Lytechinus pictus: one gene and its partner. The protein of the gene in region 1 interacts with the protein of each later gene in a pairwise test. Links are inferred from orthologs where the notes say so. Each region holds a gene or a part of one and is shown on either strand. Other genes may lie near its edges.

Evidence for each region.
Region 2: the proteins of nuclear transcription factor Y subunit gamma-like (region 1) and protein Dr1-like interact in binary tests that used the Homo sapiens proteins (3 or more experiments, as listed by UniProt). The link is inferred for Lytechinus pictus from reciprocal best matches to the Homo sapiens genes NFYC and DR1.

Annotation. Positions count from the first base shown.
Region 1 is NC_087261.1:4,124,223-4,140,604, forward strand, and holds the start of nuclear transcription factor Y subunit gamma-like, read left to right. Parts: upstream 1-6,400; 5' UTR 6,401-6,810; intron 6,811-9,420; 5' UTR 9,421-9,424; coding exon 9,425-9,529; intron 9,530-10,586; coding exon 10,587-10,661; intron 10,662-11,900; coding exon 11,901-12,014; intron 12,015-13,286; coding exon 13,287-13,382; intron 13,383-13,799; coding exon 13,800-13,979; intron 13,980-16,382. UniProt on the Homo sapiens protein: Component of the sequence-specific heterotrimeric transcription factor (NF-Y) which specifically recognizes a 5'-CCAAT-3' box motif found in the promoters of its target genes.
Region 2 is NC_087259.1:25,479,278-25,495,659, reverse strand, and holds the start of protein Dr1-like, read left to right. Parts: upstream 1-9,065; 5' UTR 9,066-9,319; intron 9,320-11,810; 5' UTR 11,811-11,819; coding exon 11,820-12,048; intron 12,049-12,366; coding exon 12,367-12,530; intron 12,531-15,017; coding exon 15,018-15,284; 3' UTR 15,285-16,382. UniProt on the Homo sapiens protein: The association of the DR1/DRAP1 heterodimer with TBP results in a functional repression of both activated and basal transcription of class II genes.

The DNA of each region.
Region 1 (16,382 bases):
AAGAATGTATGCGAGGGGTAAATGAAACAAAATGGCTAATGTTAATTCGAGGGTCTTTTGAAAATTTTGATTCGTATTGAAAGGAACAGGTGTAATAAGTTGGTTAGATTTTGTGAAGAATTGCAACAAAAAAATATTAATATTTATTTTGGGAGGGTGTTCCGCCCTTTTTACCTCTCAATTAGGTACGATTTGTAGGAGTAAATTGCCAATTCGTCTATTGCCAACTCGTTCACCCATTTAGTCTAATGTCTTTCCGTCCATCAACATTTCGTCTAACAACCATTTAGTTCAATAACCATACAATTTTGGTCCAATAATCACTTCGTCTAATATTTCGTCTCATACCTATAGTTGGTCTAATATCTCTTTTCCATTTTATTTATTTCTCCCAATCAACACTTAGTCCAATTAGACCAAGTGGTAAATGGACTAAACGGCTATTGATTGTACCAACTGAGTTAGACGAAACAGCGGTGAGTAGGCATACAGTTCAAATGGGTGATGGAATTCATAGGAGAGTCACGTATATTAGCACTTCAATTGGTCTGCTAAATTCATGTAGGGTTATGTTTAAGTTCTTAAATGGTTTGTAATAATTTCATTGAAAAAAATACAAAAGGATTTTTTTTCTTTGTGAAAACCAGTAGGCCTAATAGTAGATAAGATTAGAAAGATGGTATATTTAATTTGCAAAAAGCGTTTTTCACTAAGCACATTTCATAATTATTAGAAATTTGTTATTTTAGTTTTTTATATAGGCCTACACGTGGAGCGTTGTGGCCCAGTGGATTAGTCTTCGGACTTTGAAACAGAGGGTCGTGGGTTCGAATCCCAGCCATGGCGTAATTTCCTTCAGCAAGAAATTTATCCACACTGTGCTGCACTCAACCCAGGTGAGATGAATGTGTACCCGGTAGGAAGAAATTCCTTCAATGCTTTGAGCGCCTAGGTAGCCCAGCTAAAGCCGGGGTAATAATAATAGCAGGGCCCGCTGGAAGAACAGTTTTCGGAACTGAAGCGGCTTCCCTGGGTAAATATACCTGTATTATTATTATTATTATTATTACACTGGCTTGTATCATGCTTGTATCAAAGGGTACACTTCGTAATTCCGAAGCTTCGTAATTCCGAAGGTTCTTTATTCCGAAGGTTCGTAATTCCGAAACACGTAAATTGCCTGTACCTCGATGTTCGTTAATCCGAAAACGAAAAAGGGTTCGTTAATCCGAACATTTGTGGCGTTATTCCGAAGGTTCGTAACTCCGAAGGTTCGATAATCCGAAAACGAAATAAGGTTCGTTGTTCCGAAGGTTCGTTAGTCCGAAAACGAAATAAGGTTCGTTAATCATTTCGTTTTCGGACTAACGAACCTTCGGAATTACGAACCTCATTTTGCTTTCGGATTAATGAACCTTCGGAATTACGAACCTCATTTCGTTTTCGGACTAACGAACCTTCGGAATTACGAACCTTATTTCGTTTTCGGATTAACGAACCTTCGGAAATACGAACCTTCGGAATTACGAACCTTCGGAATTACGAACCTTCGGAATTACGAACCTTCGGAATAACCGAACCTTCGGAATAACAAAGCTTCGGAATTACGAATGTATGCGACACGGCATGTAGCCTTTCACAAGTTGGTATTTTCGTGAATATTAATTTTTACTTTATCTTGGTCATGTTAGTGTGGGACAAAATTTGCCGACAGTAAACAGTTTGCGTGACTACAGTACAGGTTTTCGACAAATAAGGTGGGGTACCGTTGAATTTCACCTGGAGCAAATATCTCCACTTATATATATTTCGCCAGAGCGATTTTGACGCTAAAAATGGGCGCAGTGGCGTAACTACGGGGGGGGGGGGGGGGGCATGGGGGCAAAAGAAACGTAGTGGGAAAGAAGAGATTATTGTTCATTATAATGTTTATGTTGTTATATTACATGAAAAACATTTTTTTTCATAACTTTATGAAACTTAATTTGCTCAGGGCCTTTGTCTTCATTGTTCCTGGTGCTCGCATTGTCTGTTTAACGAGATATATAACCATGTTGTACTAAAACCTCCCGTTTTTAAGTCAATATACACCAATATATTTCCTTGCACTTCGAGTTAATATTGTTTTTCCTGACTACTTAAAGTGATTGCGCCATTTGAAGGTCTTAATATAAAACAATTGTTTTTGTACTGTCATAACAATTACATGAGAACGCGTTTTTTTTTTCATTTCAATCACCATTTTAATATTGTTTTATGTACAATAGTCTGCTTCTTTTTCCTGACTACTTAAAGTGATTGCCCCATTTGAAGGTCTTAATTAAAACAAGTTTTTTTGTACTGTCATAACAATTACATGAGAACGTGTATTTTTTCTTCATTTTAATCACCATTTTAATATTGTTTTATGTACAATAGTCTGCTTCTTTTTCCTGACTACTTAAAGTGATTGCCCCATTTGAAGGTCTTAATTAAAAACAATTTTTTTGTACTGTCATAACAATTACATGAGAACGCGTATTTTTTTTTTCATTTTAATCACCATTTTAATATTGTTTTATGTACAATAGTCTGCTTCTTTTTCCTGACTACTTAAAGCAATTGCCCCATTTGAAGGTCTTAATTAAAAACAAGTTTTTTTGTACTGTCATAACAATTACATGAGAACGCGTATTTTTTTTCATTTTAATCACCAGGCACGAAATAAAACTTACTCAAATGCTCCCCCACGAACAGGGACCTGGGAACGATTTTTTCAGTGGGGGTCCTGAAATCTCACCTCAAAGGTGGGGGGGGGGGCACAATTGAGTTTTCCATAATTACACACACACACACTTCTAAGGGCACCACACACACACCCTCACACACACACATATATATATGTATATTTTTTTTTTTTGGGGGGGGGGGAATTTCATGTATTTTGTACTGAAAATTGAACATTTTGAGCAATGTTTGTGGTCCTGAACAAGATGCTTATGTAACAGATAATAACTGCGAACGTTATCAGCGTGAGCAGATATTTTTAATATACGCTCTGGCCTGATCGAAAGGGACGTGTTATAAGGATTGTTTGCCAGGCGCGGATCCAGGAGGGGGCCGAGCCGGCCCCGACCCCCCCCCCCTATTTTTTGACAACCTGCAGAAAAATGTACTCTTTAACTTGATAGAAACTATGAAAAACAGAAAGAAAAGTAAGAAAGAGGTATTATACCCATGATGTGTAATTCACAGCCTCGTAACAGCCGGCCCGACCCCGAAAGGTAACAGGAAGAATTGGAAAATAGACTTTATATAAAAAATTCGCTGGCGCTTCGCGCTCGCATTGCCTGTGTAATGAATCCCATTCAAGAGGATTAAATGGCACTTAATATATCCAGTTCTGAAATCAATTTGCACACGATATTTTAGCTCGCACATCAAGCTTTCATTATTTTGTTTGATTTACACAAATTGTTAATTGATACCAAAATTTTTAGCTCGCTATGCGCGCTTGCATTGTTTGATTTGTGAGATACTTATCCTCTTTGGAAATTCTTACCAAAATTTGTAAAAATACTCCTGTATCATGTCAGTATATCAAAAAATTAAGCTCGTGCTTCGTTTTTTAGACACACAGCTTGTTCTTTATTTTAATAAAAACGCGCTTAGACAGTCCAGTTCTCAGGTCGGAATATCAATAATTTTGAGCTCGCGCTTCACACTCTCATTATTTAATTGGTGATACTTGTATCCTCTTCATTAATCACTAAAAACAATTGAGTCCCTTTTCACGTTACTATAATAAAATTTCGGCTCGCGCTTCGCGCTCGCATTGTTTAGTTGGATAATATTGTATTGTTAAGTTGAACATATCTTTGTTCATGATTATAAAAACTGCTCAGAATCTTCAGGTCTAAGGACATAATATATCAAAGAATTTGAGCTCGCGCTTCGCACTCGCATTATATATCAATACCACATGAGATATCTTCTTTATAACAATAAAAACTAACATATACTTAAAACTTCAGTCTTTAGTTCGGACTACCCACTGAACCCCCCCCCCCCCCAAAAAAAAAAAATCAGATTATAGCAGCCAATCGAGGAAAATGTTGATGAAAATATTTTTCGGCCCCCCCCCCCCTATTGGCGAAAGCTGGCCTGGATCCGTCCGTGTAATTGCAGTTACCCATTAAGACGATACATATATCAACAATCAAATAATGCGAGCGCGAAGCGCGAGCTGAAAATTTTGACATTCCGACCTAAATACTGGACATTCTAAGCACTTTTTGTAATCATGAACAGGATAGGTATATATATATAACTATACAATTGATGTGAGCGCGAAGCGCGAGCGGACACAAAATTGAGATTTCAGACCAAAAAACGAGACATTCTAAGGACTTTTCTAATCATGAAGAGGATAGGTACATAATTATACAATTGATGCGAGCGCGAAGTGCGAGTGGAAATAAAAATGAGATTTCAGACCTAAATACAGGACATCTTAAGCACTTTTCTAATCATGAACAGGATAGGTATATAACTATACAATTGATGCGAGCGCAAAGCGCGAGCGGAAGCAAAATTGAGATTTCAGACCTATAAACGGGACATTCTATTCATGTTTTGTAAATCAAGAAAATGATGGGTAATTTGATATATTAATAATGTGAGCGCGAAGCGCGAGCAGAAATTTTTTGATATTCTGATCTGAAACTCCGCACTGAATGAAATATGGTTTGAACAGATAAAGAAAAATCAGACGAACATAAGAATAAAGATTTGATCAAAACCCGACAAGGAAATCGAAGTTATTGCATTTTAAAGATTAGCCTTATTCCGGTGAAACAGTTTTAAGCATGTCTTCATTTAATATTCAATGAGCAAACTGATGATGTCATATCCCCACTTGTTCTTTTGTATTTCATTATATAGAATTAGGTTTATTCAATATTTTCCCTTCAAGAACCAAAAACAGTTGAATTGACAACTGATTTAGTCCATTACATATTCTTTGCTGCAACTTATTTCATTATAAGGGAGACATATCATTCACACTGGTATGAAAAAAAATGAAACAATCTTGATTCCTTGTAATAACACAAGAAACAGGATAGTGGGAATTTTTTTTGCTTGGCAAATTTTCCAGGCCCTGGTCCCACTACCTTTGGGGACAGATTTCCGCCCATGTCAACCCACCTATTTAATATTTTTATTACATTTCTGTCATTTATCATACCTACCACTAGCTTTCCAGGAGGTGCTGCCTGTGGAAAATAATCAAATTTCACAGTCTTTTTCGCCCTGCCCCATGGCCCTGAAAAGCGGGGGTGCTGGGGATGAAGCACCCCCAGAATTTGGGGGTGCTTCATCCCCAGCACCCCCGCTTTTCAGGGCCATGGGGCAGGGCGAAAAAGACTGTGAAATTTGATTTCTATTGTCTGACTTGTAATTGTTAATACAAAACACTGGCGGTCGGGCGCGCGCACACTTGATTAGACATAAAATCTGGAAGTTTCAAGTCCAATCACACTCATATCCCATATGTCCCTCCCTGCTATCGAGTAGTGTGTAAACTATGGTAATCACGTATCGCGTGCGACCACGTCTGTATCGGAGTGCCGAGCGCGAGCTTGATTGAGTCGCGTTATAGGAGCGATGTTATTGGAATATGTGAAAGACTCTGTAAATGACTTGCGATTGTCGGATGTGATAATTATGTACATTATAACATATTAAACAAATACAGGGGGAACCTTATTTGGTAGGGGTGCTGCCTATGGAAAATAATACACGCAGCACCCCCAGCACCACCGCTTCCCAGGTCCCTGGCACGAATGAGAATTAAGAATATCTATCCCTCTTTTGTGCTTATCCCCTTTTTTCTATTTCTTTCTATGCTATGTATCAGGGGCCGCGGAACCAGGGGCTGGGGGGCCGCTTCACCCCCCCCCCACTTATTTCCAAACCCGTGTACAAAAACGTAAAAATTACCATTATGATTGTGATTGTTAGCATATGGTCAGCCCCCCCCCCCCCCACTTCCGCGGCCCCTGTGTATGTAATGTAATATATCATGCAAGCATAGTTTAAGTTTACTTTGCAATAATTATTATAATATACAAATTTGTAAATTGACGCCTTCAGCCTGTGCTACAGTATTGTTATGCACAAGAAAGTACGAATAAATTGTCGCATTATCGGAGCAATTTACGGCGGAGCAAATATTGACGGAGCAGATGTCGGCGGAGCAATCGTCGCGGAGCAATTTTCGGCGGAGCAGATGTCGGCGGGGCAATTATCGGCGGAGCAATTGTCGCGGAGCAATTGTCGTGTAACCGGAGCAAATGTCGGCGGAGCAAATATCGGCGGAGCAAGTGTCGACGGAGCAAATATCGGCGGAGCAAGTGTCGACGGAGCAAATATCGGTGGAGCAAGTGTAAACGGAGCAACTGTCGGCGGAGCACTTGTCCGGAGCAATTGTCTTATTTTGCGTAGCAAATGTCGGCGGAGCAATTGTCGGGTCACCCCCAATACATCTCAAATAGCCCAAGGCCCCATCCCTTTTAGGGCTAAGAAAAAAAAAAGTCCCCCCCCCCCCCAGCTTCGTGCAATTAATGCCGCTATTTTTTTCAGTGTGTGTTTCACGTTTGCGTGTAACAAGCATGCACGATGTGTACAAGTACGGTACCGTACATGTACACAGTATACCGTACCGGTACACATAATTATCGGGTATCATCGCATTCCATTTCCACATCGGCCAGCCTTTGACGCGACTCGACTACGAATTTGTCTTTGTAAGGTACTTTTTCTTGTATGGTAAGATATAATTGTGAATTTCCGTGCACTAGATGATGAATAATATTTAGTTGTAGCTTATAATGTTACTAATTTTGTATTTTCCTCTCTTTTTATCGCCGACTTTGCGTGCTTTGTAAGTAGCCCAATCGTTAGTCGATGTTGTCTGAGCGGTGTATTGGCATAGCGTGATTGGTTGGCGGTCCGTGCAACGGCTGTCAATGCATATGGTCATTGGCTCTCGCTTGCTCGGCCAACAGCCATTGAAAATTCCCCATTTCTCCGATGCCAACTTTGGGCAAATCACACGTTATGTGACCTCACAAAGGTGTCAATGGACTCCCAAAATGTTATGCTATATCTACAGATTGAGGATAAGGGAATGTTTTATTCAGATACACATGATTATTGGCCAAAATTGAAGATGATGTTTCCACTAAGGATTCAATTCGCGCCGCTTCTGATAATGACAGTCATTGACAAAACATTAACAGTGATGAATTAAAATGTGTGATTTACATACATCCAGACGTATGTGTGGGACTGAGTTTAAGAATTGAGTTGGTTTTTTATTCTCCTTTGTTAATATTCTTCGTGATGCTTGTTTGAGCAGGGAGAGCATTGGATATCAAAACCTTTGCCTTTCTACATTGTTCATTATTTATTTCAATTACCGGGCAGCTGGCAGTAAAGTCTAAAGACAAAGTTAGAGTTTCTGATCATGACATTAGTCATTAGACTAGTTAAAAGTTTTGTTATTTATTAAATTTAATGTTTTAACTTAAAAAAAATATGGTCTAACGACACGTTAGATCATGTTTAACCTTGGATCTAACTTTAGTAGATCAATATAAAAAAGATTGTGAATAAAAAAAATTAATGAACACACATACAATTCAGATCATCTTGAGCATGTTGACATGGTTGAGGGGTCTGTTTCATTAAACTTATTGCAATAACAGATTTGTAATAAACTGCAGTCTGTAATTAGAGCTACTGAATCTTTCAATATGAAATAAAATAAATTGTACATTTCTTTTTATAATTATTTTATTTATAGGGCCCCTATATTATTTATTTTCAATTTGATTGTTATTTATTTATTAAGATTAATCATTTGTATATGTATACAGAACAGCAGGGCAAGTCTTTATGAAGTATAAAATATGTAACTCAATAATGCAATGAATGTAGAACCTATATTACTGTTCAGCGCTGAGGTGATGATTCCACCCCCCCCCCCCCTTCCCTTTCATTCCCATTTTTCTATGTGCAATATTGGAAGATATTGGAAGATATTCTATGTTTATGTCTAATATTCTTTGATCTTATGTATAATTATTTGATGTCTAATTTTTAAATTTACAATTCTCACCACATTTCTTGCTTTCATCGTGCATAGAGACCTGTAGGCGTTATGCGTATTTAAGAACTGTACAATTATTATTATTTATTATGATTTATGTCATGGGAGTGGCATGTGAGAGGGTGCATCACTAGCGTATCCAGCACATGTAGGCCTACTGTATGGCAAAGAAATGTATGGGCCATTCACAAGCATAATAGAGTCACTATTGTCCGCAGACAATTGCGCCCCTAAAATGCTTTGTAGGATCTGATGCTAGATACGCCGCATGCCTCCAGGTAACATCAGTACGATTATGAAAGTTCATCTGTGTTGGTAAAAGATAACAATTTTGTTGAACTTTGGTTCACAACACAAAACAAAAACCAGAAAATAACGAAGAGTTACCTCGAAATTTTCGGCTGCTAACTGCAACCTTCGTCAGTGATGTGACCCGATTTGACCTTAGTGACGTAATGGTCGATCGGGTCGTAGACATTCGGAAGCTTGTATCGCCCCCCCGTCTCTGTTGAGAGAAGGTCTGAACGCCCGGATGTAGATGGCCTCTTTCTCACCTTTCTCGAAGTACCGCGGCTCCCTGTCCAGCACTTGTACCTTGTTGATGTCAACACGATGGCCAGGGGATTCGATGTGGATGTGCTGAGATACCTCGGAGGAAGTGGAGCTAGGGTGTCGATGTTCAAGGAAACATCAGTCATCAGTGTTAAATTCCACTTTTGAGCCTCTTGACGTAACCCATTTACCACTCCCACATTTCTTTGTATGATTGTTTCTCTGATGTATTACATGAATAAAGTGTTTTTTATATCGGTCAAATAATGATTATTATTACCGGTATTATTTTTATTTAGTAACCAATTATATTTATTCACAATCTACTCATCAAATTGCCAATTGGAAGTTCTTGGTAATCTCATTTGTCAAACATCAATTTCTTTTCTGTTTCAAAATTTCACCTCTCTGTTTCTTTTATTTTTTTCTCTTTCCACACATTGAGGCTATAAAATTGGATTCCCCTTTTAAAATCTATGTAAAATTTCATGTTATACCTTTTGTGTAGGCCTATACTGTAGACCCTGCATGCACTGTGTACATGTAAGTGACCCAATTTATCTTTGGCATTGGGCTCAAAATTTGAAGCTATTTTAAGGTGCTTCATAATTTTTTATTTCTATTGACAACAAATCAACACAAACAAATCATTCTTGACTTGGACTTATAACAAGGATTTGTATGAGATTATTTGTTTTGTTTTTCCCATCTAGAGTTATGGATTCCTCAGACGGTCCAACAGGCAGTAACCAAACTGAGTCTCAGATGCATCATGAACAGTTCTGGGAGAGACAGATGGAAACCATCAGGAACTTGAAGAATGTAAGATAGGCCTACCATCTTTAACCATAAAGCTGTAGTTTCTATGGTAGCCTATAATATAGGCAATTGTTATTTTTGCTTTTACCAGTCTGATGCTGTTTTACACAAAACACAAGTGATACGTCTGATGCACAAACAGTGAAGCAACCAATGCCGACACACACTACTGTCTTGCTTTTAGTAACTGTTTTCTTTTTATCTACATGTATGAACGTATGTTTCCAGTGCTTCATACAAAAAAAACCTGCACTGAATCATGGTTAAAAGAAAACAAAGACTTTAAAAAAAAATGGGAGTGTATAGGTGGTTGCTGCTTCACTGTTATAGGCCTCAGCACCGGACATATTGCTTACGTTTAGAGTGACAGCAAAAGATATACATGTAGCTGCAGCCTGTGCCTAGTGTTAATGAAAGATTGACCCTTGCCAGTCTCTCTGGTTGGTGGTTTGGGTCTTGCTATAATATTGGATTAAAAGTTTTCAGTGTAGTATTTCAAATTATCTGAAAGCCTCTTTCAGATCTGATACAACAAATCTCACCACATGTTTTCCATAGTGCTCAATTGTTGTGAGACAAATCATATGACTTATGTACCAAATGCTTTAAGTCTAAAAAGATGGTTCAAAGACGTTTTATGTCATATGAATTCATACCTGTTGTGCTTTCGTTAAATGATTAATCTATTATATAATAACCCACATTGATTGATTTCATGGCAATGTTCTTCATTTTATTTTCCAAAGTCATCAAGATCTACATGTATGAAATCTCCCCAAATCAGATTTCACCATATTATATACCCTTGATGTTGCTGCAGTTGTAAGATGAAATAAAAAAAATACCAATTTTTTTATCTCAGATAGATTGATGGTTCTGCTGATGTTTATTTGATCCGTAATCAAACATTACAATGAATAAAATGTTAGATGCATATATGTGGAGTCAGTCTGCAACAGATGAAGTTAAAGTGAATAATTAATTATTTTGTTGAATACTCTGAAATTTTCCTGCCACATGTCAATATGTCTTTTCATTTACGATCATAATATTTTGACAGAGTGATTTCAAGAAAGCGCAGGAACTTCCGTTAGCCAGAATCAAGAAGATTATGAAGCTAGACGAAGATGTCAAGGTATATAGTATTTATGATATAATTCTAAATTGGCTCTTTGTAATGATTAGTAATAGTACAGGACAACAATCCCTTAAATTTTATGGTATAATTTATTTTTATAGGGTATAGTCCTGCAGAGTAGAGAGGGCCCTTGGGGACTTGGTGGGGTGTGGAGAATGCTTGAAAACTTTGTTGTTTTTAATATTAATTATAATACTTTAGATGGCATTTGTAATGCGCCAAATCCACTCTGCAGAGTGCTCAAGGCGCTGATTGTGGTAATTGTCATGATATGGATGGGGGGGGGGTGAACAAATGGTGACTCTCTAAGATTAAAGGTAAATGCTAGTTTTGGTAACGATATCAAAATGAGTTCGTACAGAATCCAATGAAATGACCACCAAAGTGTCTGTTTGTATAAATAAAACGCATGTGCCAAAGGATTCTGGAAGAAATTGTTTAATTGCTGAGAAATCAGCAAATAAGCACAGGATTCGGGTAGAGCGTCGGGGCCCGACGCTCAAAGCAATAATTATACACAGTCCCACGTGCGCTTATCTGTGTTGGGGAAGTTCAGTCTGAACATTTTTCAGCGTAGATTTCAAGATTTCACAAAGTTCAGTTTATGTAACTGTACCAGATCTAGATCCTCGATGATATACTGACAATTAAGCCTGGTTTTACAGACTTTCTCATGAAATCAGTGTTTACTGCAACTACTGGAATTTCTCTTTAATATATGGTTTCTTTTTGAAATATTGTTTTTTTGTGTCATGTAGTATATAATTTTGAATGAATTTCTGCAAAACGGGTTCATCTGATTGCTTTGATAATATTCTAAATCGGTCACTTTATCCAAAAAATCAGCTCAGTTTATTCCCTGCATTACATGTAGCTGTAATTTCATGAAACTGATCATGAATTATTTCTGGAATTATGCATGCTCACACAAAATATGCCTGAGGTTGATTCAAAGTATTGTTATGTTCATCAATTACTTTTATAATTTCATTTTCAAATTATTCTTTATTGAAAAAAATGAATTGATGAGAATCTCATTTACACTGTATGATAATGAGATACTGTTCCTGGAATACGAGTCTAACATGTACTGATGAATTAAACTTATTCCCCTTATATTGTAAATACATGTATACATGTAGATTGTCATTCATTATAGTTAATCATTCAATATTGTATTTCTATCGCTGATGTGGTTTACGGTTTATTGTATTTCTGTTACTACCCATTATACAGATGATAAGTGCTGAAGCCCCAGTGTTATTTGCCAAGGCTGCTGAAATCTTCATTACAGAACTCTCACTCAGAGCGTGGCTTCATACAGAAGAAAATAAAAGAAGAACGCTTCAGGTTTGTCACATGACCCCATCTTACAAACAGTCGTGTTTCATCATGGATCCTTTCCATGGTTTGATCCATTCAAATCACATGAATCACATATTTACATATAATATCTTTTATTTTACCATTTGATTTCATTATAATAATAATAATATTCCGCATTTATATACCGGTAGCGCTTAACACATCGGAACGACGTCTCTAAGCGCTTTACAGATATATTATTACCCCGGTAATCGGATCCTTGCATGCCCGCATACAATGTATGCACCTTTTCCACTCCCTGGGGAGCATTCCAACAAGAGTTCCAAGACTCAATTGCTAGGCATACTACATAGGCTTTCGCATCCTTCCGGGTACCCATTTAACACCTGGGTGGAGAGTGGCAAATTGTGGATTGACGCCTTGCCAAAAGACGCTAGGCCATGGTGGGAATCGAACACACGACCCTCTGATTACAAGGCGAGAGTCAGAACCGCTACACCATGGCGCTTCTACATTCTCGCATTCTTCTTGTCTATTTATGCAATATTTGATTTAATGTGATTTATAATTTCACTTACACTCAGAACCCCTTTATGTAATTAGATCCATTATAATGAAAATCTTTGTGTAATTCAATCTATTATGAATATCTTTGTGTAATCGTTCTGTGTAATTTATGTATTGAATGCATTTTTTTTTTATTTATCTACTCTGTATAATATCTTTGTATGTTCTTATATTTTGTAAACGTATATTTCAGCCACTGGCTGCCAATCATTTATTGCCAATAAACCATTACTATTCTATTCTATTAGAATATTTGCAAAAGTTATCATGCATTTATGGACTTCAGCTCAAAACTGAATTTGTGTTGGGTTTGTACACAACTCGTGTTTTTTTAGCAAGTTATGGTATGACGTACATGTACACGTGTTGTGTGTGAGACACAACGGTAAGGAGTAATGGAATGTCAAGGTGAAAGCTTTTCATGTTACAGATTTTTTTTTTTTTAAATTCCCCAGTCCACCCCACCTGTGCAGTTAGGTTTAAATAAATTATACATTTCACACATTGATTGTAATTTGTATTGAAATTTTATTCGAATCCTGTGAAATCTGATGCTGGAAGGGGCTATTATGTTTTCACATACCATAACTTTAATTGAAAGATTGATGCTATGACAGATTATGTATTCAAGTGAACATGTTAAAACCAGACAGTGTGGTGTACAAGATACATTATTTTGAATGTATGCTCAATTTGTTACACATCAACTCTATGTGTTTCTATCAACAGAGGAATGACATCGCCATGGCAATCACCAAGTATGATCAGTTTGATTTCTTGATTGATATTGTACCCAGAGATGAACTCAAACCACCTAAGAGATCGGTAAGCAATTATTTGTTAACATTGGGAATCTCAGATATGTTGCCCACAACAGAATCATATTGTCCATAGCAGGCCTCAGTCATTACGTTTAACAGTATTTTGAAAAACAACCCAAACATTTAAACGATTTTAACTGGCGGGTTTTTTTTTTTTTATTCCCCAAAAGTAGCTGAAATTTCACATTTCACGTCTTTCCATATTTTCCATATGATTGCTTTGATTTTAGTTTGATACCATCTAGAAAATGAAGAATATTCCCTTCTTTCTAGACTCTAAAAGATAATTTGCAGTCGATGTCACACACGATCTACTACATGAAAATCTACATGTGGGACTGCAACACTATAGTCCCACATTACTTATCCTGATGCATTGATTTCTTATACTGATTCTCCTAGTGATGTTTTGTGTAAACAGGAGGGTCAGCTGCAGCAGACGGCCATACCGGCCGACCAAGTCCAGTATTATTTCAGCGTTCCTCAGCAGGGTCAGAACCAAGGGTCAAGTACCGTGCAAGTCCAGAACACCGCTCCTACTGTGGTCAGTGCTGCTAACACCTCAGCCGGTCAGCTTGCTACAACTCAACCACAAGTTCAGGTGACCTTTAGCTCTCGATTTAATATGTTGCCTTCCAGAGCTGGTTGCTCTCATTGGGTGGTATTCTGATGACCATGGTTTAATTAAACCTGGGTTAACTTGGACCATACTTTTATGGAGTGCCAGTTGTCAACTCATTCATCAATTAAAATTATTCTTATCCTGCTGCAAAAAGTTATCAAAATGTTAATTGAGTCGTGAAATGGGAAGACTATGAAAATAAAAAAAAATATGAATTTCAGTTAATTAATTGGTACATTATAATTGCCAGGTATATGGAAGAAATAATATGAAGCCAGCATTCCTCAGAAGTGTGGTTTAAGTTTCTATTTTAGACTAGGGATGTACCCAGGTTTAATTATCAGAATACAAACCTTTATGTCTTTGTATATATATATATATATAGTCTTAATTCAACTGTTATATGGTACAAAGCATTACATGTAGTTGTTGGATCTGAGAAAGGTCGCAGCGAACGTCCTCATTGTGAGATTCGACCGACAATGTCAGAGTGTCACATTCAAGCACTTTATAAAGCACAGGATCACCCTTTCGACATCACCACATTTTCTCTCTTGTGATACCATCTTTGACCTCACAAAACATGTATTTTATTTAATGTTCAGTGCCGGCCGCACAGAAACGTTAGCCTAACAGAGAGCTAACAATAAGCCCAGACACATCGTTCGGATTGTGAAGTCAAAACATTTATTTCAATGTATGAGTAATGTATTGTAACATTAGGCATCGCTGCCTCATTACCGGTTGTAGTAGGGCCCCTGTTAGCGCTAACGACGCTTCTGTACAGGTGGTTTGGATTTAGTGTGGGGTTTAGTCCTCAAAAGGATAGTAGGAGTTAACGATTTTGTTGAACTTTGGTTCACAACACAAAAAACAGAAAATAACGAAAAGTTACCTCGAAATTTTTCGGCTGCTAACTGCAACCTTCGTCAGCGATGTGACCCGATTTGGTCGATGATCGGGTCGTAGACATTCGGAAGCTTGTATCGCCCCCCGTCTCTGTTGAGAGAAGGTCTGAACGCCCGGATGTAGATGGCCTCTTTCACACCTCTCTCAAAGTACCGCGGCTCCCTGTCCAGCACTTGTACCTTGTTGATGTCAACAAGATGGCCAGGGGATTCGATGTGGATGTGCTGAGATACCTCGGAGGAAGTGGAGCTAGGGCGTCGATGTTCAAGGAATCTTGTCCTAAGGGAACGTTCTGTTTCTCCTATATAAGATTCCTGACATAAACCCTTAGTCGTCTGTCCTTGACAACGATACAAGCTTCCGAATGTCTACGACCCGATCATCGACCATTACGTCACTAAGGTCAAATTGGGTCACATCGCTGACGAAGGTTGCAGTTAGCAGCCGAAAATTTCGAGGTAACTCTTCGTTATTTTCTGTTTTTTGTGTTGTGAACCAAAGTTCAACAAAATCGTTATCTTTTACCAACACAGATGAACTTTCATGATCGTGATAGTAGGAGTTGGTAGAATGAAGTGAAAATGAAAAAAAAACGGTAGATATTATTTCTCTCTCAGTCCTTTTTAGGACTCTGACACGCAAGCACACAAAAGTTTTTCTTGCAGGGGGTGGGGATTGGCATCATGCCCCCCAGTCCTTTTAGGGTTAAGGTGGTCACAGAGCATGATCATAGTTTTCATTGGTTAAAAGTTTACATTGATTCAGTTCATTCCAGTGCAAATCATTTTTTGTTTCATATGGATATCTTACAAACCATCAGTAATGGTTCATTCAAACAATCATTTTGTCTACTCATTAGGGGTTCTTTCAGACCATGATGTTTTTATTCATAAATTTTTCATTGAAGGTTAGCTTATGGCCATGAAAGTTTTTTGGGGGAATGTGGTATATCAATAGACTCTCATTATTCTAATTCATTTTCTCATTTTCCTCTCTAAACCTTGTCCACCATATATATCCTGCTGCTTTTTCCTCTTTTATTCATCGCATTCCTGACTCTGAGGTGCATACATTACATGTATATGGATTGGATTGCATTGGCCCACTCCCTGTCCCTTCCTTAATTACTGTCTGGTCTTTCTGCTTTATGGTATATCAATTTCTTTATCCATGGCTCTTTGTCCCTGCTGCTCTACCCTTTTCGTTGTATTCCCTTTATTGATTGGTATCAAGAAATCACTTTTTTTTGCAAAATATGTGTTGCTGCTTTTTCCTTGGCTGAATTCATTGGACATGCATGGACACCTGCTTTGTTTACTTCCATCTTGATTTTGTTTAATAATTATTTCTCACTCTTTGCGATGTACATGTATTGTTTTGGGTTGTCCATATGGGTTCCTTCCATGTATGTGCTTTAACTGTTGTAAACTGTTCCTTCACCCATGGTACCATGTACCCTTTGATTTCTCTCTT
Region 2 (16,382 bases), on another chromosome or scaffold:
AACTAAGTAATTTCGACATTTTATTAGTTCAATATACTGATTTTTTATGAAATACATATATAGAATGATGATTTTGCAAATTATGCGTTAATATGTTATCTGTTGAGGTAAAAATAGGGTTTGAATGGAGTAAACAAAATCAACAGTGTCTGATTGTATGAGACTAAAAAGGAAAATATGAGAGGCTGCCTGTGAAAAATCTAATTTATTTATTTTATTTGTCAGATATAACGCAAGAAATACAAATGTGAGTGTTTAGAGTATAAACATACATCAGTAACCGAAGACAAGGAAAATATGAAAATTGCTGCAAACATGTCCAAGTGGAGAAAGTAGTGCTTTGCAATAACAATTAAAACATAGAAAAAGGTGTGTTATCCGCAATGGAAAAAATACTATTTACAGAAATAATGCTAAATATTACAATGATCATAAACGTTGGTCATCTTTAAAGTTGATCACTTAATTTATGAAAGCTTCAACATTTCAAAGTTGAGGAGTAGAGACTACATTATTGCTTTAACATTACATAGGGGCCGAAAGGGGCCTACCCTACGATTTAAAATGCACCTCTTCGTATGGACTTTCCATAATCTTTTCTTTATAATGAACTAGCTTATCTTCATTTGTAATAATTGTGATGGATTCGTAAGCTATAGGCCTAATCTGTATCTTAAATTCAATTAGCTATTTTGTTACTGCAGATTTGTTTTGCTTTGTTTCACTGTTTCACATCTCAAGTTAGCCCAAATCCGACAATTAATTTTGTGAAATAATGAAAATGAAATATAAATGAAAGATTTACCATGTTTAACATTTTAGTTTTGTATCTTTTTTTTTTGCTGAACGTTATAAACACGTTTTTTACCTTACATAATTTATTTTAAAGAAATTTGTTTTCATGTTGTTTAATTATCTATAATGCAGGGGCGTCGATCCATTTTTCAGATTGGGGGGGCATAATCATGAATCAACGTTCCAAAGGCGCTCGATCACACAAAACAAACAAACCCACACACACACACACAGGTATATATATATATTATATGTGACTCATGAGAAAGAGACACATATCTCACCAACAAATTAATGCGAGCGCAAAGCGCGAGCTGAATTTTTTTAGTATTCTGTCCTGAAAACAGGAAAAAGGTACTTGTTTAGGACTGATTGTAGTAACTCATGAGGAGAATACGTATCTCACTACACAGATAATGCGAGTGCTGAGAGTGAGCTTAAATTTCTTTATATTCTGAAATGAAAGCTTGATATTTTAAGCATTTATGGTACCAATGATTAAGACAGGTATCTAAAAGAACAATAGATGCGAGCGCGAAGCACGAGCTGAAAATTTTGATATTTCGATCTTTAAAAAATGACAGTTTAATGGACGTTTTTAATAAAAGAACAAGATATATATCCAACAAAAGATTATTGCAAATCGAAGCATGAGTTCTTTTAAAGTTTAGAACTGAAAACGGGACATTCTATTCACCTATTTAATCATGAAAAGTATGGGTTTTAGCTCAAGATATCATGCGAACCGCGAGCTGAAAATTTTGATATTTCGATCTTAAAAAAATGACAGTTTAATGGACGTTTTTAATAAAAGAACAAGATATATATCCAACAAAAGATTATTGCAAATCGAAGCAGGAGTTCTTTTGAGGTTTAGAACTGAAAACGGGACATTCTATTCACCTATTTAATCATGAAAAGTATGGGTTTTTGCTCAAGATAGCATGCGAGCGCGAAGCGCGAGCTGAAAATTTTTACATTCCAATTGGAAAAACTGACATTTTGAGCACGCGATTTTAAATGAAGAACGAGTTGTGTATCTCAATCTCGCTTGCTGATTTCTGTGTAACATTACAATCTTATTTTAGTTTTGCACAAAGCATGAGGGGTCAGAGAGATAGTGCCGCCCATTTTTCGATATTTCAAAAAAAAAATGGAAATGGTGTGGGGATAGGACGGAGAATAAAAGAAAACATATTAAAAAAATATTTGGGCCTACATTACCCCCGGACATAATGCCCGGAGACAGGGTTGTGATAAAAAACGTTTTTTATTAAAGGACAAGTCCACCCCAACAAAAACTTGATTTGAATAAAAAGAGAAAAATTCAACAAGCATAACACTGAAAATTTCATCATAATCGGATGTAAAATAAGAAAGTTATGACATTTTAAAGTTTCGCTTCATTTCACAAAACAGTTATATGCACATCTCGGTGGGTATGCAAATGAGGGAACTGATGACATCACTCACTCACTATTTCTTTTGTATTTTATTATATGATATATGAAATATTTTGATTTTCTCGTCATTGTCATGTGAAATGAAGTTTCATTCCTCCCTGAACACGTGGAATTCCATTATTTTAACATTTTGTGCTTCAGGCAAGGAGTTTCTAATCATCAAATTCGTAAAAATTGAAATATTGTATAGTTCAAACAATAAACAAGGCTCCACATTAACTTTTTTTGGTGGTGGCCCGTTCGGGCCACCAAAACCATCAAATAATTTTTTTGGGTGGCCCGATATTAAAGTTTGGTGGCCCGAAAAATATAAAGAAAAACATTAAAAATGAATAAAACAAACTTCCGAAATATTAATTCTGCAGCCACTACCAGTACCACTATGTTACTTTTACTTTATACATCTTGTATGTAAACCTTGTTCGCTGTTATTTTACTTTGCTAATTGATAAATGTTTCTATCATGGTAAACATGAAATGATTGAAAGAGAATAAATGAATTGTATTGTTCGCAGGTTGTGTGGACTTTTTTTTAAATCTTTGTATAGAGATAATGGTAAAGTAAATAAATAGTGCATAGCAAATTCAGATAGATACATGTACAAAACAATGGTTTTTCCTTCCTTCCTCTTTGAATCCTAAAACCTAGATTATGCATGCCCCAAATCCAGTTTATTTCTGTTTTCTCTTTTGCAGCATATTATAGAAGGAGAAAATCACAGAAAAATATGCTGCAAAATTAGAACAATGCATAAAAGGGGGAAACAAACGAAAATAATTTTCAAAAAGTATATTACAAAAAGAAAAAAAAATAATAAAAGAAATTAGTGAAATAAAATAAAAGAAAGAAAATGAAGAAAGAAAAAAACAAAGAACAGGGAAAAAAAGAAAAATAGAAAAGAAAAAAATTAGAGAGAAAAAAGAAAAGAAAATGAAAGAAAAATTAATAAAACAAACTTAATAAAAAAATGGGGAAAAGGGGAAAATTAAGAAGCCATTACATATATTTTTAAACAGCTGTGGCAACAGTCTATTCTGACTGGAATATAATTATTTAAAGCCAAGCAAATAATTTTCACTTACTTTTTGGGAATGGCACATTTTTATTTTTATATCCTTTAGTTTGTATTATTTCATTTTCAGTAGAAACATATTTTTTAATCAGGCATATTCAATGGGAAGGGGTATAAATGGTTTAACCACTGTCAAAAAAAAATGAAAGGAAAAAAAATATGAAAACGGCAAAAATTATATCTGGTGATTTTGGATAAAAAGTGTGAGAAAAGTCCTTCCCTATATTTGCCAAAATGTTGGGAAAAAAATCACATTTCATATCAATGAAATGCCTTCCCAAAGTATTTACTTTCTCAAGAGTGGTTTAAGAAGTCATTTATAAACAAGAAAGAAAGAAACTGTCTGTTTGTTTTTGGCTAGAAAATACACAGCTTCGAAAGAAACCAAGTATCAACATACATACAAATGCACACGTGGGACTGTGATGTACTTGCCTATGTGTTTTTATGTGTATTAATTCATGTGGAAATCGGTCTTTTTGAGTCAAAAGAGAGGTCATAATTCCTCTTCTTAATACTTGCAAATAATCAGGGTCCACCAGATTTTCGTAATATAGACTGTAGAATTGCATTTCATTGGTGTAAAATGTGACTTTGACTGAGATTTTCAAAGTTCTGTGGAAGATTTCTCAGCAAATTGCTCAAAAATGTGATTCCGTGTTGAAAGTCTATATGCAAATTATGCAAGGCTCCACATTAACTTTTTTTGGTGGTGGCCCGTTCGGGCCACCAAAACCATCAAATATTTTTTTTTGGTGGCCCGATATTAAAGTTTGGTGGCCCGAAAAATATAAAGAAAAACATTAAAAATGAATAAAACAAACTTCTGAAATATTAATTCTGCAGCCACTACCACTAAGTTCCTTTCACTTTATACATCTTGCATGTAAACCTTGTTTGCTGTTATTTTACTTTGCTAATTGATAATTGTTTCTATCGTTGTAAAAATGAAATGATTGAAAGTGAATAAATGAATTGTATTGTTCGCAGGTTGTGTGGACTTTTTTTAAAATCTCTGTATAGAGATAATGGTAAAGTAAATAAATAGTGCATAGCAAACCCAGATAGATGTACAAAACAATGGTTTTTCCTTCCTTCCTCTTTGAATCCTAAAACCTAGATTATGCATGCCCCAAATCCAGTTTATTTCTGTTTTCTCTTATGCAGCATATTATAGAAGGAGAAAATCACAGAAAAATATGCTGCAAAATTAGAACAATGCATAAAAGGGAGAAACAAACGAAAATAATTTTCAAAAAGTATATAACAAAAAGAAAACAAAAATAATAAAAGAAATTAGTGAAATAACACAAAAGAAAGAAAATGAAGAAAGAAAAAAACAAAGAACAGGGAAAAAAAGAAAAAAAGAAAAGAAAAAAATTTGAGAGAAAAAAGAAAAGAGAATGAAAGAAAAATTAATAAAACAAAGTTAATATAAAAATGGAGAAAAGGGGAAAATTAAGAAGCCATTACATATATTTTTAACAGCTGTGGCAAGTCTATTCTGACTGGAATATAATAAAAAGCCAAGCATATAATTTTCACTTACCTTTTGGGAATGGCACATTTCTATTTTTATATCCTTTAGATTGTATTATTTTATTTTCAGTAGAAACATATTTTTTAATCAGGCATATTCAATGGGAAGGGGTATAAATGGTTTAACCACTGTCAAAAAAAAATGAAAGAAAAAAAAAGAAAACGGCAAAAACTATATCTGGAAAAAAAGTGTGAGAAAAGTCCTTCCCTACATTTGCCAAAATGTTGGGGAAAAAATCTCATTTCATATCAATGAAATGCCTTCCCAAAGTATTTACTTTCTCAAGAGTGGTTTAAGAAGTCATTTATAAACAAGAAAGAAAGAAACTGTCTGTTTGTTTAAGGCTAGAAAATACACAGCTTCGAAAGAAACCAAGTATCAACATACATACAAATGCACACGTGGGACTGTGATGTACTTGCCTATGTGTTTTTATGTGTATTAATTCATGTGGAAATCGGTCTTTTTGAGTCAAAAGAGAGGTCATAATTCCTCTTCTTAATACTTGCAAATAATCAGGGTACACCAGATTTTCGTAATATAGACTGTAGAATTGCATTTCATTGGTGTAAAAGGTGACTTTGACTTAGATTTTCAAAGTTCTGTGGAAGATTTCTCAGCAGCAACATTTTTTATCGCAGCTCCCTGAGTCTGAATAGGCTGAGCTAGATCTAGAGCATGCACAGTACAGCTGTATGCAGTGGATTCATGCAAAGCTCACGCCAGCCGGCCGGCGCGGCTGGCTGGATAATAGCTACTGTATGCTATAGCTGTAGGCCTAATATGCAAACTGTGTGTGTGTGTATTTGTGTGTAGATCAACAAAAAAGGCGCATGACGAACTGGCTTGCAATTTGAGCTGTAGAAAGTTGATAAATGCGTGCAAAATTGGGAGAAAAATTGCGCTACTTTGAAAATTATTGGTTGCCCGATTCGGGCCACCAAAACTTAACATTTTATCAATAATGGTTGCCCGAGGTGAATTTTTGGTGGCCCCGGGCCACCGGGCCACCACTAATGTCGAGCCTTGAATTATGTTTTTCAACTAAAAATCATAAATGTATGATTATTTTTACTTTTGGTTTAAATGGATTTATTTCATGCTATTTATGATTGCAAAAGGGTCCCCGACTAAGTTCATTTGAAAAAACAATAAAAACAAAAGTTTCAAAAACAAAGAAATACATAAGAGTTAAAAAAAAATTTAAAAAATTGATACTGCCACCAGAAATTAGCATTCTACTAGCTACGTAAATTGAGTTAAAGGCAAATACATACACAAAAAAACTAATTTAGGCAAAATTTCATACCCTTATTTGCATAAATAAAAAAATATAAATTATCAATTTTTGGGAAAATTTTATTATGCAGTCTTGAAGTTTACATCCGGCTCTACGCGCGTGCAAATTTTTGCGGTTATTGTGCAATCAGTATATTCCGGTCTGAAATAGCCCAGTTAAGATAGGGTTAAGGTCCCCTTGGATTGTTAGGGTTAAGGTTTGCTAGCTGACTATCTTATTCTGTTTAAATTACTTTTCTTCATCTATACAAAGCGCAAAGTTTCACCTGCTTTCGTGTGTACTTCAAGAGTACAATGTCAGTTTTACAGTCTACATTGTATTTGTTTACAGTATATAGGCTTGTGCAACACTTCCATTTCATTGAAGTACTACGATTACATGTAGTATACATGTATTTGAGCTTATTTCAAATAGTGTTTCTTTCCCTGTCCAAAAAGTGAGCACAACACTCAGATATAGACTCTATTAATATGGAATGATGTGCACAATTGAACAGGGAGGAAAGAAACATGATAAAGTAATGGAGAAAGGGAGAATAAAGGGGGAAAGAGAAAGAGAGTTGGGAGAAAGAGTTTTTATTAGTTATAACTTAAAAGAAAATAGTACACCACTTCAGAAATAAAAGTATTTAAAAAATTAATCTAAAATCACATCCATGCAAATTTACAACACACAAGCCTATGCGGTGTTTTAAAACACGTTTTTTTGTAAAAAAAACGGGTGTTTTAAAACGCGTTTTAAAACATGTTTTAAAACACACCGTTTAAAACGTGCCAACCCTGCCCGGAGAAGTTAAAATGACATCTGTTTTTTGGTCGTCTTGCCGTGCAAAAAGACGACCTGAAATTGATGACAACTAGCCCCCATATTATAACAAATAACTTGGCGCCATCCAAGATAAAATGCATCAGTGTGCAACCCCAAAAATGTTTAGAGGTGATATGTCAGTGTGGCTTGCCGTAAACGCATTTTCTCTCAATGCCGACGGTGGCGGGCAGTGTGCAAAGAAGATCATGCCTACGTAGGACATGTCTGGAGGTGTCTTTCCAAGGACCATTCTTCGTATCGCCCAAATCGGCTTTGTGAAAAAGTTGGGCGATATCTCGTTCTTATCTTACGTAGAATCAGTAGAGGCGCTGGTCAGAAAATTGGGATCGTTCCAGTTTACAGGGACTGTCTCAGTTTATAAGGATTTCTTCACACAAGAAATCTAGGAAAGTTCATTCACCTGTCAAGTGCCGACACCAATCAAGTGTGCTAGTCAATGTAAACATTATCAGGTTTCAAAACATGATTATTGGAAGACGGTAAGTCATGAAAAATAGACGGTGAACTGGGGGGAATTGAGGTCACTGAATCTATTTTTAGCACTCACAATTCCCGTAATTGCTGTCTTTGTCCCGTAGGGGGAAGTGAAAAAAAAACGTCCCCATAAACAAGGACAGTCTCAATTTATCAAGACATGATTTGTCTTGGTTTATGAGGATATCCTTGTTTTCTGGGACAATCCCAATTTTTGGACCAGCGCCTCTACTGAGAATGGTTCTACGAAAGACCCTTCCATGCAACAGGCCCCTGACTCCACGGTATTCCCTCCATCAATGGACCGATGACGGCCACTGGGCCCGTAATGGTGGAGCAAACAACGACGACATGATGCAAGACTCAGCGCAGCCTGCACTTTGCAGGCGTAGGCCGTAGCCGCCTACTACGCCGCACCGCCGGAGCCGTGTACCGGTTAGCCTCTTGTCGAGGCCCTGGCGGCTGCTTCCCCAGCGAAGCGAGGGCTTTCCTAATTCGCGAAGCGAATTAGGCCTGGCGCGAGCCAGGGCCTCTTGACATCTGAACTGAATTATATATTCATGAGGAACGTCTTCCTAATGAATATACATGAGTCATGATATTACCGGTCACCGAGTAAACCAATGAAATGTCAGAGCTGTTTCGTCTTGGGTTCGGAATACTATATAGTAGTCCACTATTCTGCAGGGGATTCATTTAATTGCGGGACAATAAAGGGGATATAACCAGCAAAATGCTACAAGTAGTGGTACTACTATTACTACTACTATTACTACTGGCCGTAACAGACCCATCACCGCCCCGAAACTTCCCGGGAGATACTGCTCAGCCGCTGGTCAGACTCGAGTCAACTCCCAGCAACTCCCCCCAGCTTCCCTCACTGCACTGCACAGCGGAGATCGATAATCGACGCCCCGGATCGACCGGTGGAATCGCATGAAATATTACATTTTTTCCATATCCTGTGGGTAGATTTACAAAGACATCTCGTCCTTTCAGTGCAGAGTTAATTTCATCGACTTGCAAATCCTTAAATCGGTCAATATTCAGCGTTTTAGAGGCGTATTCAGTGCTCTTTGATATTTCGTCGTCACTCTTCGCCAAGAATCCAAGGGTCGCCATTCAAGAGGAGCTCATGAATATTTAATATGACGTCATAGCAGCTCGCGCTCCTCATTGGATGATTTTCACCGACCAGTTTTTGGTCGGTGAATTGGTAAAAACAATAAAAAACAAAAGAAAGTCGGTGAAATTCGGTACAGATGTCCAGAGGCCCTGTCTCGCGGCGCTCTGCTTCGCTCTCTCCCGTGCTTTGCCATGTTCGCTCGGAAAGAAGCCGACAGGGCCTCGACAAGAGGCTATGTACCGGTAGGATAGGCCCCATGGCCTATTCTGCTGCATGCGCATGCCCGGCCCGTCGCGGTACGAATCATGTCTCATTAAACTGTCTCAAATTTGCTCATAAACTCTTGCACTCACTAAAAACACAAACTAACGGTCAGGAAAAGAGATGGAAATTAAAAAGCTATCTCGATCACTCACCAAAACTAAAGCAGCCCTTTGAGGAATTAACCTCTTCTTGCCTTGAACGGCTCGGACCGTCGCTCTTCCAAGTGCAGCCATAACACATATGACGTAATATAGGTCTCGGGGACAACGGGTGCCGCAGCCGGACCGACTGGTCTGGCTGGCCGCGCCGCGCCTAGCCTGGGCATAGAGACCGACGCATCATCGATTGGTCCGCCGGCCTTGACTTTATCTCGCTCTCGTTCGATTGTTTCTGCAGCTTTAACTCGGGTTTCAGGACAGGCACGTTTTCATAGCAAGGTGTCGTCAGCTTAGCAAGGTCAAGTTGGTTCGATTCAAATTGCATGCCTTAAAAACTATTTTGTTTTATTTATTTCTTCATTTTTTTTTGCCGAGTGGGTTGAGCCAGCTCAGCCTCAGAGTCAGACTCAGAGGCTCAGGCCTCAGCCTCTGCAGCCGGACCACCATGGCATTTCTATTGCTGGCGTGTGCAATTTCTTGTGCACACATTTCCAATGGGGATATCACAATTCTGTGACTGCGCACCTATAATTTTATAAATGATTTTATTATTATTTTTATTTCACAAAAAAAATCAGTCGATAGTGTTCCTTATATTCTCATGAGTTAGCATGGTTAGTGTGCCAAAAATCCTCATAAAATCAAAAATTTGAGAGAAATAATAGGCCTAACGTTAGGGCTAGGCGATACAAAGTCAAAGTCAAAGATAGATCTTAATTAGTTACTCTAGACTTAGTCTAACATTACAAGTTAGACTTAAGTTTAAAGACTTTATATTGAACTAAATTTGAAGTAAAAAGTATTCTTTCTTGACTCTACTCTAGTCTTGTTATAAACAGTGGATGTGTAAACTCCTGTAAATGTACAGGGGCCGCGGAACCGGGGGAGCTGGGGGGGCTTCAGCCCCCCCACTTTTTTCCAAAGCCGTGTACAAAAACGAAAAAATGACCATATGATTGTGATTTTTAGCATGATCAGCCCCCCCCCACTTTTGGCTCAGCCCCCCCACTTTGAAAACCGATCCGCGGCCCCTGATGTATACTATTACTATAGTGATGCATATGATAAACAATATATGTTTGGTTACTTTGGTTTGAAATGAATTAATTCAATTCAGTTCAATTTTTTTTCCTTCATTTTATACGCCTGTCCTAGACGGGACGTATGGTATCACGCTCGGTGTCCGTTGGTCCTTCCGTCTGTCAGTTAACTTTTCCTTGTAAACACGATAACTTCAGTTTTACTTAACCTAGGCTCATATAATTTGGTGTGTATGAGTAGCATGGATCCCAGGAAGCCTAATGATTTTGAGGTCAAAAGGTCAAGGTCACACTGACATGTTTTCATCTTGCCCTTCTGTCGTCCTTGTATATGTGATAACTTTACTTTAACTTTAGTTTAACTTAACCTAGGATCATATAATTTGGTGTGTATAACATGGATCCCTGGAAGCCTATTGATTTTGAGGTCAAAAGGTCAAGGTCACACTCACATGTTTTCATCTTATCCTTCTGAAGTCCTTGAAACATGATAACTTTAGTTTAACTTAACCTAGCCTAGGCTCATATAAATTGGTGTGTATGAACTAGCATGGATCCCAGGAATCCTATTTATTTTGAGGTCAAAAAGTCAAAGGTCAAGATCACAGTGACATGTTTTCATCTTACCCTTCTGAAGTCCTTGTTAATGCGCTAACTTAAGTTGAACTTAACCTAGGCTCATAAAATTTGTTGTGTATGAACTAGCATAGATCCCAGTAATTACCAGTACTTCTATTGATTTTGAGGTCAGAAGGTCAAAGGTGAAGTCGCTACCTTCCACTTTTCTTGCTTGACCATAACTCCATTTTCCGCGTTACAGGCGGGCGTATTATGTGCTCGCCTTAGCGACACTCTTGTTGTCTTTGATAGATAGATAAATGGTTTATTGATAAAAATCATGACATCATCGTGGCTAAGGCCGAATTGCAATGTATTACAAGGTAATAATGACACAAAAATATATTCAAACAGTAACACAGATAATTACAAAATAAATAATATGGCCTTTGTTCCCTGAGATAATCCAGTGCATGTGTCCTATTGAAAAGAACATTTTACTGTTGATACCCTGTTTTAATGGCCTTGGATGCCCTCTGAAGTGAGCACTGCCTTCCTTCCCTTTGCATTGCCCCAATGAATTCTTAATTTGAGCCCTGTAGTCAGTCAAGAAGCCTTTGGGCGATTCCATGCTAGAAAAATCAGCTATTTTCGCAACATTTTTCAACCTATTGTCCAAACAAACAAAGAACTTAAATTTGTTTTGTGGTAATAATAGAGTACTACTGGGTAGACATATGAAAAATGACAACCAACAAATATATGCTGTCCATGGGTGAATTAGAGATGAAACTGTTGCGTGTCGTACGGGACATTTCTGAGTCCCGTACGGGTCGACACACAACTTGTTTGCCCTTAATTCAGCCATAATCAAATATTTTTTGTCGGTAATCAGGTTTTCACATGACTATCCGCTATAACTTTATTATTGACCAAAAATAATTTTTTTATTGCTCAAGCAATCAGCTAAGAGACTAGAAATTGTTGACAAAATGTCCCGTACGACACGTATGGAATCGCCCCATTACATATACTTGTAGAAAAAAAGTTATGGTATTCCTTCCTTATATATCAAGGAGTGTTTGAAATAATTCCAATTATTTGGGTAATAGTAATTGCAATGTAAAGCGCTTAGAAATACCATATATTACAGTATATAAATGTAACTCTATTGATTACCGTATTTTGCAGGTAGTAACGATGGCAGATTCACAATCTTCTCAACTTCCAGAGGATGAGCTAACTGTCCCTCGTGCCCCTCTTAACAAGATGATCAAGGAATTACTACCCAATGTCAGAGTTGCTAATGATGCGAGAGAACTCATTTTAAATTGCTGTACTGAGTTTATTCAGTTGGTTTCATCAGAAGCAAATGATATTTGCAATAAGCAGGCCAAGAAGACGATATCGCCAGAACATGCGCTTCAAGGTAAATGGTTTCAGAGTAGGGGATGGGTCATAAAGCTGTTCATAAGTTAGGAGTAATTTACAACAACTGGTTACCTGGGATGAGAAACTAAAGGAATACCTATGAGAATCTAATGTCGTTACAAGCCGTTCGTAAACTCACTCGTAACTTATGAAAAGCTTTATCCACCAGAGGCACTAACAGGTTACATTGTTAATGCATTTGACCAGAATGAAAATGTGTAGAATTTGACTGGCATCGTGCAATGCATGCATTCATTGTCAAAATTTATGCTCACAATTTTAGGTTTTCTCTTGTTTGTTTTTAAATGATTTGCAGCATTGGACAGCCTAGGGTTTGGAGATTACCTGCAAGAGTGCAAGTCAGTTCTAGAGGAATGTAAGACGGTGGCAGCAAAGAAGAGGAAAGCAAGCACTCGTCTTGAGAATCTTGGTATACCTGAAGAAGAACTCCTTAGACAACAGCAGGAGCTCTTTGAAAAGGTACTTTCAACAGCTTTGCACTTCAAAGGCTACTATAAACTCAACAAAAGGGAAGAACATACATAAAGTTTGCCATTTGGAGCCTAATTAGGGGGGGAGGTAATAGTGTAACATAAAGAGTTACACTTAATAATAATATCCACAATTTATAGTGAATTTTTTTTTATGGTCTGCCATAGATTAATACAGATATGCTTTAGTAATTGAACAATTGTATCTTTTCTTTAATAGAGCCCATTAATATGTAATGGAGAAGCATTTGAATATTTGATATTAGTATTCAAGATTCAAGATTGTTTTATTGGTCCATGAATGCTAGGCATACAGAGAAATTTAGTTTCCAATGGCTTTAAACTCATAACATACACACAAAAATGCAAAATAAAATATATCATAGCAATCTAACTCTACATAAAAAAACAATACAACTTTAGTGAAAACATTTCTACAATAGGTTGATAACCCTTAGAATTCATGATTCGAAATTCATAAATTATAAGAAATAGGTGATGAGATGTCTGCATGCTGCTAACCCCACCCCCCCCCCCCCATCCTAGTATGCGGTATATAATCATCATAAATTGACACTTACAAAACACCCATTCATAAGAGAGTGATAGATATGTAGGAAAATATGAAAGGAAGCTGGAGGGAAAGGTAAAGTGTAGAAGAAGAAGAGAAAGAAAGGGAAAAGAAAGAACAAGAAAGGAGAGAAAAGGGGAAAAAGAAGAAGAACTGAGTAGGAGGAGAAGAAGAAGAAGATATCTCATCATGTTACTTTTGAGTTATACACATGTATAGAATCAGGAATAAAGGAGTACCGGTAGCGGGAAAGGCGTGTGCGGGGGGGGGGGGGGGGGGGGGGGGACACAGCCGTATTCCTGAACCATTAAACCGGAACCAATTATTGAGGAGGTGGGTCTTGTCTGCCATTATGGTATGTACTTTGGCAAGTATGCGTTCTTCGTAAATTGCTTGGACAGGGGACAAATCCATGCCTATCGTCCTTTGTGCAATTTGTCGAATCTGGTCTATTCTTTGTTTTTGCTCGTTTGACATATTTCCGAAAGTACATACCAGGTTGCAAGTTATTACACTTTTGATGATTGATTGATAGAACAGTTTCAGTATAGTTTTATCGATGTGAAAACTTCTAAGTTTTCGCAAGAAAAGCATCCTTTGATTTGTTTTCTTTTGTACTGATAGACAATTTTGCTTCCATGAGAGCTTGTCATCAATGATTGTTCCGAGGTATTTGTACTCATGTACCTGCTCAATGACATCTCCGTGAACACGGAGTGGTTCATGAATTTTATCACCCTTCCGAAAATCAATGATAATTTCTTTGGTTTTACTGGTATTCAATATCAGGTAATGATCGTCACACCAACTGACAAAATCATTTATCTGTGAGATATATTCATTAGGATCATTGAACAGGTAGCCTGTTATCACGGTATCGTTGGCATACTTGATTACACTGCGGGATGTCTTCGTACCTATGTAATTACTCGTGTACAACGAGAAAAGAACGGGAGATAATACGCAACCTTGGGGGGCTCCAATTTGCGTCACCAACTCTCTTGACTGACAATTCCCAGCTTTAACTGATTGAATTCTCGAGCAAAGGAAATTTTGGATACATTAAATAAGTCTGGGGTTTACATTCATATCTATCAACATTTGTACAAGGCAATGAGGTGCGATCGTATTGAATGCACTCGACAAGTCAAGAAATAGTGATCGCGTGTACGACTTTGCACGATCGAGATGCTCATATATCTTATGGAGGAAAACAAGGGTAGCATCTTCTACACTTCTCTTTGACCGATAGGCAAATTGACATGGGTCTATTTGACACTGTGATTCTTTTAACAATTGGACAAGAAAGAGCCTCTCGAAACATTTCATATTATTTGATGTTAGTGCTACCGGCCGGAAATCGTTTGGTTCACGGGCTTTGTTTATCTTAGGGATTGGTATAATTGTGGAGGTTTTCCACAATTTCGGGATAACCCCTGTATCCAAACACAGTTGAAAAATATGACATAGAATTGGAGATAACTGTTGGTTACATAATCAGCTCCTACATGTGCACACTGACCTTGGTGCCGTTTCATAAAGCTGTTTGTAAGTTAAGAGCGACTTTAAGAACGACTGATGATCCTTTCTTATGTGCCAAACCATCGCCTGTGAATATACTGTTTACCACAAGAAAGGATCACCAGTCGTTCTTAAAGTCGCTCTTAACTTACGGACAGCTTTATGAAACACCCACCAGGATGTGAATTAAATTGTATTTGAAATAAAGAGGGATATTTAAAATTATCTAACTTAACCTTTTACATCAGATTTTGATGACATTTTCTGCATGTCTGTGTGATTTTTCTGTATGTGTTCAAATCAACTTGTTCTTGAGATGGACTTGGCCTTGAAAGTTGTTGATTTGTGTTAACTTCATACATGTATGTGATTGAATTCTTACAGGCAAGACAAGAGCAAGCAGCAATAGAACACCAAGAGTGGTTGCAGTTGCAGGCAGCACAGGCAGCTCAGGCTCAGCAACAAGGTCTCCAACCAGGGATGCAACCAGGAATGCAACCTGTTGCTGCAACAGGGGGAAACTTGCAATCTTATCAAGTTGCTGAGGGCATACCCCAGCATGGAGCTGTGCCTTCTCTGAATCTTCCCAGCAGTGGGGCAGGGCAACTACCCACAGAGTCCGCCAGCAACCAACAGATCCCGCCCTCATGACGTTCCTAATCTAGGAGGGGGCACTCAATTCTGATTTAATCAGAGGATTTTTAATGCAGAGACATTAAGTGTTGCATCTGTGGAGAAGAAATCTGGCACCTTCTCAACTGATAAGGTTCCTTCCCCATTCATCACGGTCACCTGGGGTAGGTTTCGTAAACACGGATATATTCAGAACAAGTTGTTATGATAACAAGTTTGCAATAACAGTTTAAAGCTACTGAAATTGTTTAATCTGATTAGCTAATATTTTGTAAAATTGATGTAGATATTGTGCATTTGTTGTTATAACAAATCTTTATGAAATGGGACCCTGAAGTAGATTGCTCAGATGAAGGTAATATTGTTCTTACTTCAGAGATTTGAATTGTATTGGTTACTTCTCTAAGTTCCAAGTACTCACCTAAAATCATATGGGGATAGAGTTGTGGATCCAACCTCCTTATTCTTAGAGTATAACCTTGAAGTCTTCAAACCTGAATTAAAGATCCATCTTTTCCAGCGACTTTGTGTATAATGTGTGTCATAATGTGGGAGTTGGCACCTTTGAATTTTTTTCACATGTAATCGGTGCCAGACAAATGCTGTTCATCATCATCATGGTCAGAAGTACAAGTACTCTGCAGGCAAGACCTTTGGTTTTTGAAGGTCGCACAGTGTGTAATGCAGAGTCTAAAGTAGTGAGACTAGATTCACCATGTACATTGGCTGCCTCTCAGACAGAGAGTTTGGCATCTAGTCTTCACTCTAGACATGGTATAATTGGTTAAAGTATCAAATTTGAGTCTGTTCTTGCAGACTAGGTCAGAAGATTGAGAGCAATGATATTAGAAATACATTTCAAATAGAAATATTAAACAAATCTCAAGGATTAATAAACACTTTGTTTTTTATTTAAAAAGACATTAATCCAATGCCCGACTTCTAAGGCTTGATGTGTCATGTCATGATAAAGCCATGGGCCCTAGTAGAGTCCATGATAAAGCTCAGCATTAAAGCACAGCAACATTTTATGTAGACCAAAAGCTTCGGTCTCTGTTATGTTGGTTGTTCCGCTGAACTCCGTTGGCTCCACTTACCAAATACAGAGACCGAAGT